Linked DNA regions of Macaca fascicularis. The main gene of each other region encodes a partner of the protein of the gene in region 2 in a complex. Links are inferred from orthologs where the notes say so. Each region holds a gene or a part of one and is shown on either strand. Other genes may lie near its edges. The genes, in order: LATS1, WWC1 and DDN.

Region 1 (3,645 bases), on a different chromosome or scaffold from region 2:
CGAGATGGCACCACTGCACTCTAGCCTGCGACAGAGTGAGGCTCCGTCTCAAAAAAAAAAAAAAATAAAATAAAAATAGTACATATACATGATGAAGTTCAATATCAAGGTATTTATTTATTTATTTATTTATTTATTTTTTGAGACGGAGTCTCTCTCTGCCGCCCAGGCTGGAGTACGGTGGCCGGATCTCAGCTCACTGCTAGCTTCGCCTCCCGGGTTTACGCCATTCTCCTGCCTCAGCCTCCCGATTAGCTGGGACTACAGGCGCCCGCCACCTCGCCCGGCTAGTTTTTTGTATTTTTAGTAGAGACAGGGTTTCACCGTGTTAGCAAGGATGGTCTCGATCTCCTGACCTCGTGATCCGCCCGTCTCAGCCTCCCAAAGTGCTGGGATTACAGGCTTGAGCAACCGCTCCCGGCCAATATCAAGGTATTTAAAGGAATGAGGTTGAACTATCATATTTTCTCAGTTCTGAAATGCCACTAACTCTAAGATGAGCCGTCTATTTAGTAGCAATTTTTTAGCGGGCAGAAAGTAAACATAAAGATTTTATTAATAATCAGTAGCATACATTTATTCGTTCAATTGTATACCATTTTCATCACAATAAAGTTTGAGTCTCAGCCTTATTCACATTCAGAATCTAGGATTCTTCTGAATTACTTTGGGTAGTTAATGCAACATCATGATAACAGGCTGCTTTTCATAATGCTAGTTAATTATCTTAACCTATGTTGTCTTTATGATTGTGTGTATAATTTTAAGGTATAATGAAGAATACTGGGATGTTGCTTTCCTTTTTGCTTAGTTTTTTTTTTTTCTTCTAATTAAACAGCTTCCTCTGAAGATAACTGTAAAAGTTTTGACAGATTTTGAGTCTCTTACCTTTGAAAATTCTGTGATCTTGCTTGAATTTAATAATTATGGCTTTAATTGCATTGTCTATTGAATGACAGTTTGAGTGCACAATACTATATCACAATGGAACCTTTTCAAAACATTTTGTGGGCCAGGCATGGTGTAATCCCAGTATTTTGGGAAGCTGAGGCAGGAGGAACACTTGAATTCAGGAGTTTGACACCAGCCTGGGCAACCTAGCAAGCTCTCCATCTCTATTTACAAAAGTAATAATAGCCAGGCGAGTAGCTCGTGTTTGTAATCCCAGCACTTTGGGAGGCTGAGATGGATGGATCACATGAAGTCAGGAGCTCAAGACCAACCTGGCCAACATGGCGCACCCCTGTCTCTACTAAAAATACAAAAATTAGCTGTGTGTGGTGGTGGGTACTTGTAGTCCCAGCTACTCTGGAGGCTGAGGCATGAGAATCACTTGAACTTGGGAAGCAGAGGTTGCAGTGAGCCAGCATATGGCACTACACTCCAGCCTGGGCAACAGAGTGAGACTCATGCCTATAATCCCAACACTTTGGGAGGTTGAGGCAGGTGGATCACCTGAGGTCAGGAGTTCAAGACTACCCTGGCCAACATGATGAAACCCTGTCTCTACTAAAAATACAAAAAGTAGCCACACATGATGGCACATGCCTGTAATTCCAGCTACTTGAGAGGCTAAGGCAGGAGAATCGCTTGAACCCGGGAGGCAGAGGTTGCAGTGAACTGAGATTGCGCCATTGCACTCCAACCTGGACAACAAGAGAGAAACTGCTTCTCAAAAACAAACAAACAAACAAAAACAAAACAGAAAAAAAGAAAAAACATTTTGAGCATCATATATGGTGCCGCCAATGAAAATATTACAATTGGCCGGGTATGGTGGCTCATGCCTGTAATCGCAGCACTTTGGGAGGCCAAGGCAGGTGAATCACCTGAGGTCAGGTGTTTGAGACCAGCCTGGGCAACATGGTGAAACCCCATCTCTACTAAAAGTACTAAAAATTAGCCGGGTGTGGTGGTGGATGCCTGTAATCCCAGCTACTTGGGAAGCTGAGGCAGGAGAATTGCTTGAACCTGGGAGGCAGAGGTTGCAGTGAGCCGAGATGGTGCCATTGCACTCCATCCTGGGCAACAGAGCGAGACTCTGTCTCAAGAAAACAAAAAAAGAAAATAATACAATTGAGGTAACAAAGATTTCGGCTTTTATTTTATGGTTAAGTTAGGCATGTGCAATGACTGCTACTCTAGAACTTCTCTGCTTTGGAGGGGAGATTCGACCTTGATTTATTTGGAAGGAACTCTCAGCCATTGTTTTAATTATCATCCCTGGCCATCTGTGAAGTGTGTGTTGGGTGAGTATTCTCTCTTTGGAAGGTACAAATCTTTCTCAACTAGCTTATTGCTCATAGAAGTTGGGGGCCCAAGGGTTGATCTTAAGATGTACTCTATTTATTATTATTATTTTTTTCTGGGACAGAGTTTTGCTCTGACTCCAGCCCAGGCTGGAGTGTAGTGGCAAAAATCACGGCTCACTACAGCCTTGACCTCCTGGGCTCTATTGATCCTCTCACCTCAATTGATCCTCCCACCTCAGTCTCTCCAGTAGCTGGGACTGCAGGTGCACACCAACATACTTGGCTGATTTTTTCTATTTTTTGTAGAGATAGGGTCTCACTTTGTTGCCCAGGCTAGTCTCAAACACCTGGGCTCAAGAGATCCGCCCACTTCAGCCTCCAAAAGTTTTGGGATTACAGGCATGAGCCACTGCACCTGGCCCTAAATTTTAGAAATATTAAAATGTAGAAAAGCATGCTTAGAATCAAACAAACGTGACACTGGCTGGGCATGGTGGCTCACGCCTGTAATCCCAGCACTTTGGGACGCCGAGATGGGAGGATCACTTGAGGCCAGGAGTTTGAGACCAGCCTCGTCAACATAGCGAGACCCTCGTCTCTATTAAAAAAAAAGAGAGAGAGAATAAAAGATAAAATGTGGCTGGGCGCAGTGGCTCACACCTGTAGTCCCAGCACTTTGGGAGGCCAACAAGGGCGGTCTCCTGAAGTCAGGAGTCTGAGACCAGCCTGACCAGCATGGAGAAACTCTGTCTCTACTAAAAATAGAAAATTAACTGGGTATACTGGCACATGCCTGTAATCCCAGCTACTTGGGAGGCTGAGGCAGGAGATTTGCTTGAACCTGGGAGGCGAAGGTTGCGGTGAGCCATCACACCATTGCACTCCAGCCTGGGTGACAAGAGCGAAACTCCGTCTCAAAATAAATAAATAAATAAATGACACCTATTACTGTGGAAAGATGTTCATGGTATTATGTTATTCCTTTGCCAACAAATTGGGCCCTGATTAGTGATAGAGGCAAGATTCTTGGGTCCTATGGTCCACATGCCCAGTAATCTCTTAATCGGGTCCAGATATGATGAAGTAATGTGTCCTGTGTGCTGCGTGTGTGCGTACTCTGTCTGTCTGTCACTCACTGTATCTGTTTCTCTCTATCTCCCTTCCTTTTCTCTTCCCCTCACTCACTCACCGCAGTACACAAGGGCCACAGTAAAGCACTCTTCCTAGAAAAAGAGAATAATGGAAGATAAGCAGCAAATGCTGATCTATAATCTGAAATCTCCTAGTCAGATTCTGTGTAAGCAACCAGCCGTGGAGGTAGGGGAGATTGGACCTTGATTTATTTGGAAGGAACTCTCTCATCCATTGTTTTAATTATCCTTGGCCACCTGCG
Region 2 (3,645 bases):
CAGTCACTGTGCTAGAAGCTTGTGATACCAAAATGATTTCTTGAGAAACGGTCCCTTCCATCAGGAAGGCCAGAGCGAGCCAGGACTCCAACTCCAGGCCTTTGACCCCAAATCCACAGTTGTTCACACAGTGCCACTACCTCTCTCTGACTTGAGAATACGTGGTCAGTAGTTGTAGTCTTAGTGGTCCAGAACTGCCAGTGACTCAGTACTTGCTATGTGCCAGGCACCCTTCCCACTCATTCTGATGAATGAGTTTTTCTCACCTTTATAGCCTAGGGAATTGGCCCAATGTTACGTACCTAATAAGTGATCACGCCAGGTCATAACAACAGTAGCGAGGACTTACTATGTGCCAAGTACAGTGCTTTGCAGGTTACAGATTATATCATAAAACCTTCAACCAAAATGGCATGAGGAAAGGGCTTCTGTTATTCCCTTCAGAGAGCTGAGCAACTTGCCCAAGGCCACACAGCCAGTGGTAAGAGGTTAGTGCCTGGTGATGAATTCACATCTCTATTGTACCAGGAACAGGGCTAAGGACATTGCCTTGTTCATGTCTGCACCCCATCCCTGCAAAGCCTAATTCCTTGTTGGCACATGGTAGGCACCCACATGTGTTTATTTAGAAAAAAAAAATAGGTTCCTTGAGACGACATGCTGATCAAAGGAAGACAGTAACTGTCAAAGATTGCTCTGAGATGTCTGTTTCCTTGTGGCATCTCCTGTTCCCGCAGTGCCATTAGGCACACCAGTCATGCTTGCTTTCTTGGCCCCCAGGATCGCCAACCTGAAGATCCAGCTGGCCAAGCTTGACAGTGAGGCCTGGCCTGGGGTGCTGGACTCAGAGAGGGACCGGCTGATCCTCATCAACGAGAAAGAGGAGCTGCTGAAGGAGATGCGCTTCATCAGCCCCCGCAAGTGGACGCAGGGGGAGGTGGAGCAGCTGGAGATGGCCCGGAAGCGGCTGGAAAAGGACCTGCAAGCAGCCCGGGACACCCAGAGCAAGGCGCTGACGGAGAGGTGGGGCTGGGGTCCCAGGGTGTGTAGGACCCTTCTCTCACTGGCAGTCTGTCCTCAGCCCCCAGATGGCGGAAGGATGAGGGGGCTCCAGGCCCCTGGGCTCCACCCTGAGCATGCTCAGTTCAGAGATCTCTCAGATTGCTGACATAGGAAATCAGGAAAGATGATTCATCATCCAGTGCACCAGCTACCCTGGTCCTTTGCATGGTGAACCATGCTACCAAAAAGTCTGCTTAGGTGCAGGATTTCAAAAATGTATCTTCTGACTCAATTAAGCCACATAACTATATAATTTAAAGCAGTCATTTTCCATTTTTTTTGACAGTGATGCACATTTTATACTGTGACCTGACACAAGGTTCACAAAATAGTGTATGCTCTTTCTACCTGTGATGGTCCTCTGATGTTTTCTCTCTTCTACCTGTGATGGTCCTCTGATGTTTTCTCTCTTCTATTGCATTTTGTTTCATGCAGTTCATGACTCACCAAATTGATTTCACCCCATGCTAAGTAAGGGGTTGCAGTTTGCAGTTTGAAAAACACTGGTCTGGGTGGGGGTTGCAAACTGGCATGCTTATAGGAGCCAAGCAGGTCACAGAAATGCTGGAGACCCACCTGGCAGTGGTCTGTGTCAGACCAGAGTGCACAGACCCCACTGGTCTAGAGCAGGTGCTGTCTGTCTCCTGCAGCAAATGGGAGTACAGGCCTCGGGCTGCCAGAGCTGCCTGTACTTCAAACAAAAGAGTTGTTTGGATTTTTTATTTTTAAATATTGGGAACTAATCCAGAAGTTTTTTTCAAAAAATGCAAATCAGCCTCATCTATAGGCCTGATATAACCTAAAAGCCACTGGTTTATATTCTCTAATTTAGACCTTATCATAGACATTGTCTTTGTTTATTTCCTTCAGTGTTCCCACCAACCTCCACACCCACACTGCACCGAATGCAACACTGTGTTCACCATAGGCTTTACGCTCTCCAGCTTCAAGTTCATTCATTCATTCTGTTCAACAGCCAATGTTTACTCATTCATTTGAGAAACGCTTTGCTGCAAGGATTGTGTGTGCAAGGCAATTTGGGGGATTCAGAAATTAACAAGACATGGTCCCTGCCCCATGACCTTTAAATCTATTATACTTATTTTCACCATGTTTTTCGCAGGAGCCTTTATTCAGCAAGGTCCCTGCCCCTAAGGAGCTTAGAAGTGAAGCTGGTGATTTTCAAGTGTGTGTGTGTGGTGTGTGTTTGGAATATGAGCAAGGGAATTCCTTCTTCTAGTGAAATCAGAGGAAGAAGCCCGGCTTATGAAGCAAGTAAACGTGCCTAGTGCCTCAGTTGAAGCAGTCGGGAGTCCTAGAGAGGCCTGTCTGTGGTCACTCTGTCACTCCACCATGGGTCTTCCAGGGAGCCTTCGAGCTCTAAGGTGCCCAGCCTGCAGTACCATCCTAGCAATTGAGTGAGCCCCACTTGCACATGGCATGGTGCCAGGTGGATCAGGTTCACCAAGTTCTCGCCCAGCTTCCCATGGCTTCAGAGATTCTCTTGACTCGTTGATGGCGAGAATCTCTCCCCACTAGTTGCTTAGTCAGAACTGCTAGCAGTAATGTCCAAAGGGTATCCATTTCCTCTCTTCCGTTCTTCATTGGCAGCAGCAGCTGATTAGCCCTGACCCACCACCCATTGGTGGGAGAAGGAGAAGGACAGAGCTTGAATAATTGGTGTTCTGCAGTCCTTGGAAGCACCTTGCTAGAAGTCTTCTTTAGCACCACGACTCCATTATGCTTTCTCTGGGATTTTGTGCTTTGGGGATAAGGCCTGTGTCTGTAACATGCCTGTAGTGTTCGTTGAAAGAATAAATGGTTAGCTGGCCCAGGCAGATCCTTACTAGGCTTCTGTGTATATATCCTGGTCTTTATACCCATTCCCTGGGTTGCTCACTTGCTCCCAGACCCTATAACTGCCACTGGGAAGCCCTTAGCTATTCATAGTCCCCACAGCCAGCAGCTGAAGAGAACAGACTCATGGCAGCTTCACTCCTTGTTGGGGCAAAAGGAACACGCTTCTCACTTGCTGATCTTGAGCAAGTCATTGACCAATTTGGGTTTCACTTGCCTAATAGGGAAAAAACAGGATGCATTAAGTCCTCACTTAACATTTGTTAGTAGGTTCTTGGAAAACTGTGACTTTGAGCAAAACGACATACAATGAAACCAATTTTTTTCCATCAACTTTATGTTTTATTTCTATTTTTTTCGAGATGGAGTCTTGCCCTGTCACCTAGGCTGGAGTGCCGTGGCATGATCTCGGCTTACTGCAACTTCCGCCTTCTGAGTTCAAGCAATTCTTCTGCCTCAGCCTCCCGAGTAGCTGGGATTACAAGTGTGCGCCACCACACCCGGCTAATTTTTGTATTTTAGTAGAAATGGGGTTTCACCATGTTGGACAGGCTGATCTCAAACTCCTGACCTCAGGTGATCCACCTGCCTCAGCCTCCCAAAGTGCTGAGGTTACAGGCGTGACCCACTGCAGCCAGCTCCATCAGCTTTATTAAAAAATGACGTTATTTGAGAACTTGATGTGCATCATTTTGCTTAAAGTTGCAGTTAGCAAGAACCTATCTA
Region 3 (4,075 bases), on a different chromosome or scaffold from region 2:
GAGGCTGCTGCCATGGTTGCCAGGCATGGTTGCTAAGTCTCTGCATGGAAGGGTTGGCGTGGGCTGTGCTGCCACTAACATTACCATGGTGAATCAGGGGACACCTGGTATAAGCTTAGGAGGAGGGATCATGTGGATGTAAGCAACAGCCCCCCAGGACAGAGGCAGCCCAAAGGTGAGCATCTGGAGCACCACTTCAGGTGGGGGCTGAGTGAACTAGGCAATTGTGGTGGTGAGGGGGAGCTCTACATTGGAAAAAAAAAAAAGGCCACTTTTATCATTTCAGTTGCTAGGGGATTAGTTTTGCCAAGCAAACACACCATCTCTCCTCCATCCCCCTCTGGAAGGGTGAGAGTGCATAAGCACTTACTCTGTCCTCCATAAAGCTGGGCAGGCTGTGTGGGCACAGAACAATATAACCCCCAAATCCTGCTTCTAAATTGGAGGTGAAAGCCTGCTGCTGTGGGAGGGCTCCCTGGCTGCCCAAGGACAAACATGTAGAATGGGACTGGTAGGGCAGCTTGGGTGGCCAAGGCACACGCCTGTGTCCTGCTGTACCAGCAGTCCTAGGCTGCAGCACTGAGCTGGCGAGGAGATACGGGTGTAGGGGTCACCCTTTTTGAGCTTAGGGAAGGCAGCTCTCCCTCAGAGTCGCACAAAGCTTGGTGAAAGCCACCGCCTCCTCTCTCCACCGCATGGAAGCTGGTTACTCATCTCATCTCTGCACCCGAACAGCCACTGCCGCTAAAAATAGCCCCCCAGCCGTGGGCCAGCCCCTCCTGCGCCCCAACCCCATGGAAACCAGCAGAGTGGCAGGCAGAGACCTTGAGTTCCATTCTCACGCACTCTATGTTGGGGAAACTGAAATCTGAGGCAGGAAGCCAGGGGCAGAACCCTGGTGGTCAGGCAACCTGACAAGCAGGAGAGTAAAGGGTTAAAACGGCAGGAAGGTTGAAGAAACAGGGACGGGGGAGGGGGCACTGTCAGCTTGGCAAGAATCATAAGTCCCTCCCCCGCCCACTCGTGCGATCCCATCAGGCTTGGGGGACAACAGCAGTGGGAAGGGGCGTCCAATCCCGGGCCCCAGGGGGCGGCCGTGCACATGGGGGAGGTAGCAGCGCGGAGCAGTCCGCGCGGTGTCACATGCGCGCGCACACACAGAGACAGGCACACACACGTGTGCCCGGGTATATATAGTTCCCAGTCCCCGGGCCCGCGGCTCTGCAGTGGGCGCCGGCTCCCTGGGCTGGGAGGGGGCTCCTGGGGCGGGTGGGAGGGTGGGGGGCCGGGGTGGGGTGGGGCAGGATGCTGGATGGCCCACTGTTCTCCGAGGGGCCTGACAGCCCCCGGGAGCTCCAGGATGAGGAGTCTGGCAGCTGCCTCTGGGTGCAGAAGTCCAAGCTATTGGTGATAGAAGTGAAGACTATTTCCTGTCATTATAGTCGCCGCGCCCCTTCTCGACAGCCCATGGACTTCCAGGCCAGCCACTGGGCTCGCGGGTTCCAGAACCGCACGTGAGTGAAGCAGGGGTGAGGGGAAGAGAGTGGTGGGGCGGGGAGTGGGGTCCGGACCACCCCGCAGGCACCAGCGAGCACTACTGATCCCCCTTCTCTTTCCCACGCCTCCCACCCCTGCCCGCTCCCGAAGGCTGGGGCCTGTCTCATCCGGTTGTTTGGGGGAACAGGAATGGGTGTGAGAAAGGGCAGGAGGTGAGATGGGGCAGACGCTGTTAAAGTGTGCAGGCAGAGATGGCGAGGAGTCCCGCTTCGACTTCAGTCCTAACATATACGCACGTGCACACGCGCACACACTCACACACACCCCTTCACATGGCTGCCCCAAGTGGTCTCCACTGCTCCCAGCTCCCCGGACCTCGGCTCCCTTCCCCCACAGACTGCTCACCTGGGTTCCTGCTCATTGTCCCAGGTGTGGGCCGCGCCCGGGATCCCCACAGCCGCCGCCCCGCCGGCCCTGGGCCTCCAGGGTGCTGCAGGAGGCGACCAACTGGCGGGCGGGGCCCCTGGCCGAGGTCCGAGCTCGGGAGCAAGAGAAAAGGAAAGCGGCGTCGCAGGAGCGGGAGGCCAAGGAGACCGAGCGAAAAAGGCGGAAGGCTGGTGGGGCCCGACGAAGCCCCCCGGGTCGGCCCCGCCCGGAGCCCCGCAACGCCCCTCGGGCAGCCCAGCCGGCAGGGCTCCCTGCTACCTTGCGGCCGGAGCGCCTGGCGCTGGTGGGGCGAGCGCCCCGTCCATCCGCGCAGCCGCAGAGCGACCCAGGGTCGGCGTGGGCGGGGCCCTGGGGAGGTCGGCGGCCGGGGCCCCCAAGCTACGAGGCTCACCTGCTGCTGAGAGGTTCTGTCGGGACCGCCCCGCGACGCCGCTGGGACCGGCCGCCACCCTACGTGGCTCCACCTTCTTACGAAGGCCCCCATAGGACCTTGGGGACTAAGAGAGGCCCCGGACACTCCCAGGTGCCCACTTCATCAGCCCCACCTCCGACTCCGGCCAGGACAGAGGGAGGGCGCACAAAGAAGAGGCTGGATCCTCGGATCTACCGGGACGTCCTCGGGGCTTGGGGTCTCCGACAGGGGCAAGGTCTCTTGGGGGGATCCCCAGGCTGTGGAGCGGCCAGAGCAAGGCCAGAGCCCGGCAAGGGGGTCGTGGAGAAAAGCCTGGGGCTGGCTGCTGCTGACTTGAACAGTGGTAGCGACAGCCATCCCCAAGCCAAAGCTACAGGGAGCGCAGGCACCGAGACAACTCCTGCGGGGTCTGCAACTGCGGCTCCCAGTGCCCCGCGTCCCGCTCCCAGATCCAGGCACCACCTCAAGGGCTCGAGGGAAGGGAAAGAAGGAAAAGAACAGATCTGGTTCCCTAAATGCTGGATTCCCTCCCCTAAAAAGCAGCCGCCCCGCCATAGCCAGACACTCCCCAGACCCTGGGCTCCCGGAGGCACCGGATGGAGAGAATCCCAGGGTCTTGCAGAGGGGGCAGGACCGGAGACCCTGGAGGGTTGGAAGGCGACCCGCCGTGCCCACACCTTGCCCCGCAGTTCCCAGGGCCCGTCCCGTGGGGAAGGAGTCTTTGTCATTGACGCCACGTGCGTGGTGATACGATCCCAATATGTTCCAACCCCCCGAACCCAGCAGGTGCAGCTTTTGCCCTCTGGGGTGACACGCGTGGTGGGGGAATCCGCCAGCCAATCGAAGCCCGGCAAGGAGGAGAGTGAAGGGGCCACGGTCTTTCCTTCCCCTTGCCGAAAGCGGCTGTCGAACAGTCGCCTTTTACACCAGCCCGGCGGGGGCCGCGGGGGCGAAGCTGAGGGCGGGAGGTCGGGGGACTCCTCACTGGAGGAGCGCACCTCCCGCATCTTGGGGCTCCCGGCCCCGGAAGTAAACCTGCGGGACGCCCCCACGCAGCCAGGTAGCCCAGAGCACCAAGCCTTAGGCCCAGGAGCTTCGGGAGCCCAGGGCAGGGCCGAGGGCTCGGAAGTGGCGGTGGTCCAGCGGCGCGCGGGCCGGGGCTGGGCGCGGACCCCAGGGCCCTACGCCGGGGCCCTGCGAGAAGCCGTGTCCCGTATCCGCCGCCACACCGCCCCTGACTCGGACACGGACGAAGCTGAGGAGCTTAGCGTCCATAGCGGCTCCTCTGATGGAAGCGACACAGAAGCCCCAGGCGCCTCCTGGCGGAATGAGAGGACCCTGCCCGGGGTTGGAAACAGTTCGTCGGAGGAAGATGGGAAGACAGCGGAACTGAGCGACAGTGTCGGAGAGATCCTAGATGTCATAAGCCAAACCGAGGAGGTCCTCTTCGGGGTGAGGGACATCAGGGGGACTCAACAGGGAAATAAGAAGAGGCAGTGAGAGGCCCCTTCTTGTATTTGAGTCCCCAACACATCCATCCTTGGGTCCACTGGTCCCCATTCTTCCTCAGACTTCCTTTGCTTCTCTTTTCCTTGTATCCTTACCCATACCTATTCCCATCCTTGAAATATAAATGAAAGGAAGGGAAGCATATGCCCATTAATGATTTTGTTTCAGGAGAGGTGAGAATCAGCAGTAGATTTAATTAATGTCTGTTAT

Evidence for each region.
Region 1: the proteins of WWC1 (region 2) and LATS1 are in contact, whole or in part, in a crystal structure (PDB 6J68), measured with the Mus musculus proteins. The link is inferred for Macaca fascicularis from reciprocal best matches to the Homo sapiens genes WWC1 and LATS1. Residues at the interface, in NP_740749.1 of Mus musculus: Asp17, Tyr23, Ile25, Asp26, His27, Arg30, Thr31, Thr32, Ser33, Trp34, Asp64, Val67, Tyr70, Ile72, Asp73, His74, Lys77, Thr78, Thr79, Gln80, Ile81; in NP_034820.1 of Mus musculus: Ala546, Glu547, Ala548, Pro549, Ser550, Tyr551, Gly553, Pro554, Pro555, Pro556, Pro557, Tyr558, Leu562, Leu563.
Region 3: the proteins of WWC1 (region 2) and DDN are in contact, whole or in part, in a crystal structure (PDB 6J69), measured with the Mus musculus proteins. The link is inferred for Macaca fascicularis from reciprocal best matches to the Homo sapiens genes WWC1 and DDN. Residues at the interface, in NP_740749.1 of Mus musculus: Glu13, Glu14, Ala15, Arg16, Asp17, Tyr23, Ile25, Asp26, His27, Arg30, Thr31, Thr32, Ser33, Trp34; in NP_001013763.1 of Mus musculus: Tyr227, Val228, Ala229, Pro230, Pro231, Ser232, Tyr233, His237, Arg238, Thr239.

The regions. Positions count from the first base shown.
Region 1 is NC_088378.1:57,699,334-57,702,978, reverse strand, and holds part of LATS1 (serine/threonine-protein kinase LATS1), read left to right. Parts: intron 1-2,120; 5' UTR 2,121-2,122; coding exon 2,123-2,249; intron 2,250-3,645. UniProt on the Homo sapiens protein: Negative regulator of YAP1 in the Hippo signaling pathway that plays a pivotal role in organ size control and tumor suppression by restricting proliferation and promoting apoptosis.
Region 2 is NC_088380.1:175,154,373-175,158,017, forward strand, and holds part of WWC1 (protein KIBRA), read left to right. Parts: intron 1-780; coding exon 781-1,023; intron 1,024-3,645. UniProt on the Homo sapiens protein: Regulator of the Hippo signaling pathway, also known as the Salvador-Warts-Hippo (SWH) pathway.
Region 3 is NC_088385.1:55,812,366-55,816,440, reverse strand, and holds the start of DDN (dendrin), read left to right. Parts: upstream 1-1,217; 5' UTR 1,218-1,305; coding exon 1,306-1,514; intron 1,515-1,902; exon of another isoform or gene 1,903-1,926; coding exon 1,927-3,856; 3' UTR 3,857-4,075. UniProt on the Homo sapiens protein: Promotes apoptosis of kidney glomerular podocytes. Podocytes are highly specialized cells essential to the ultrafiltration of blood, resulting in the extraction of urine and the retention of protein.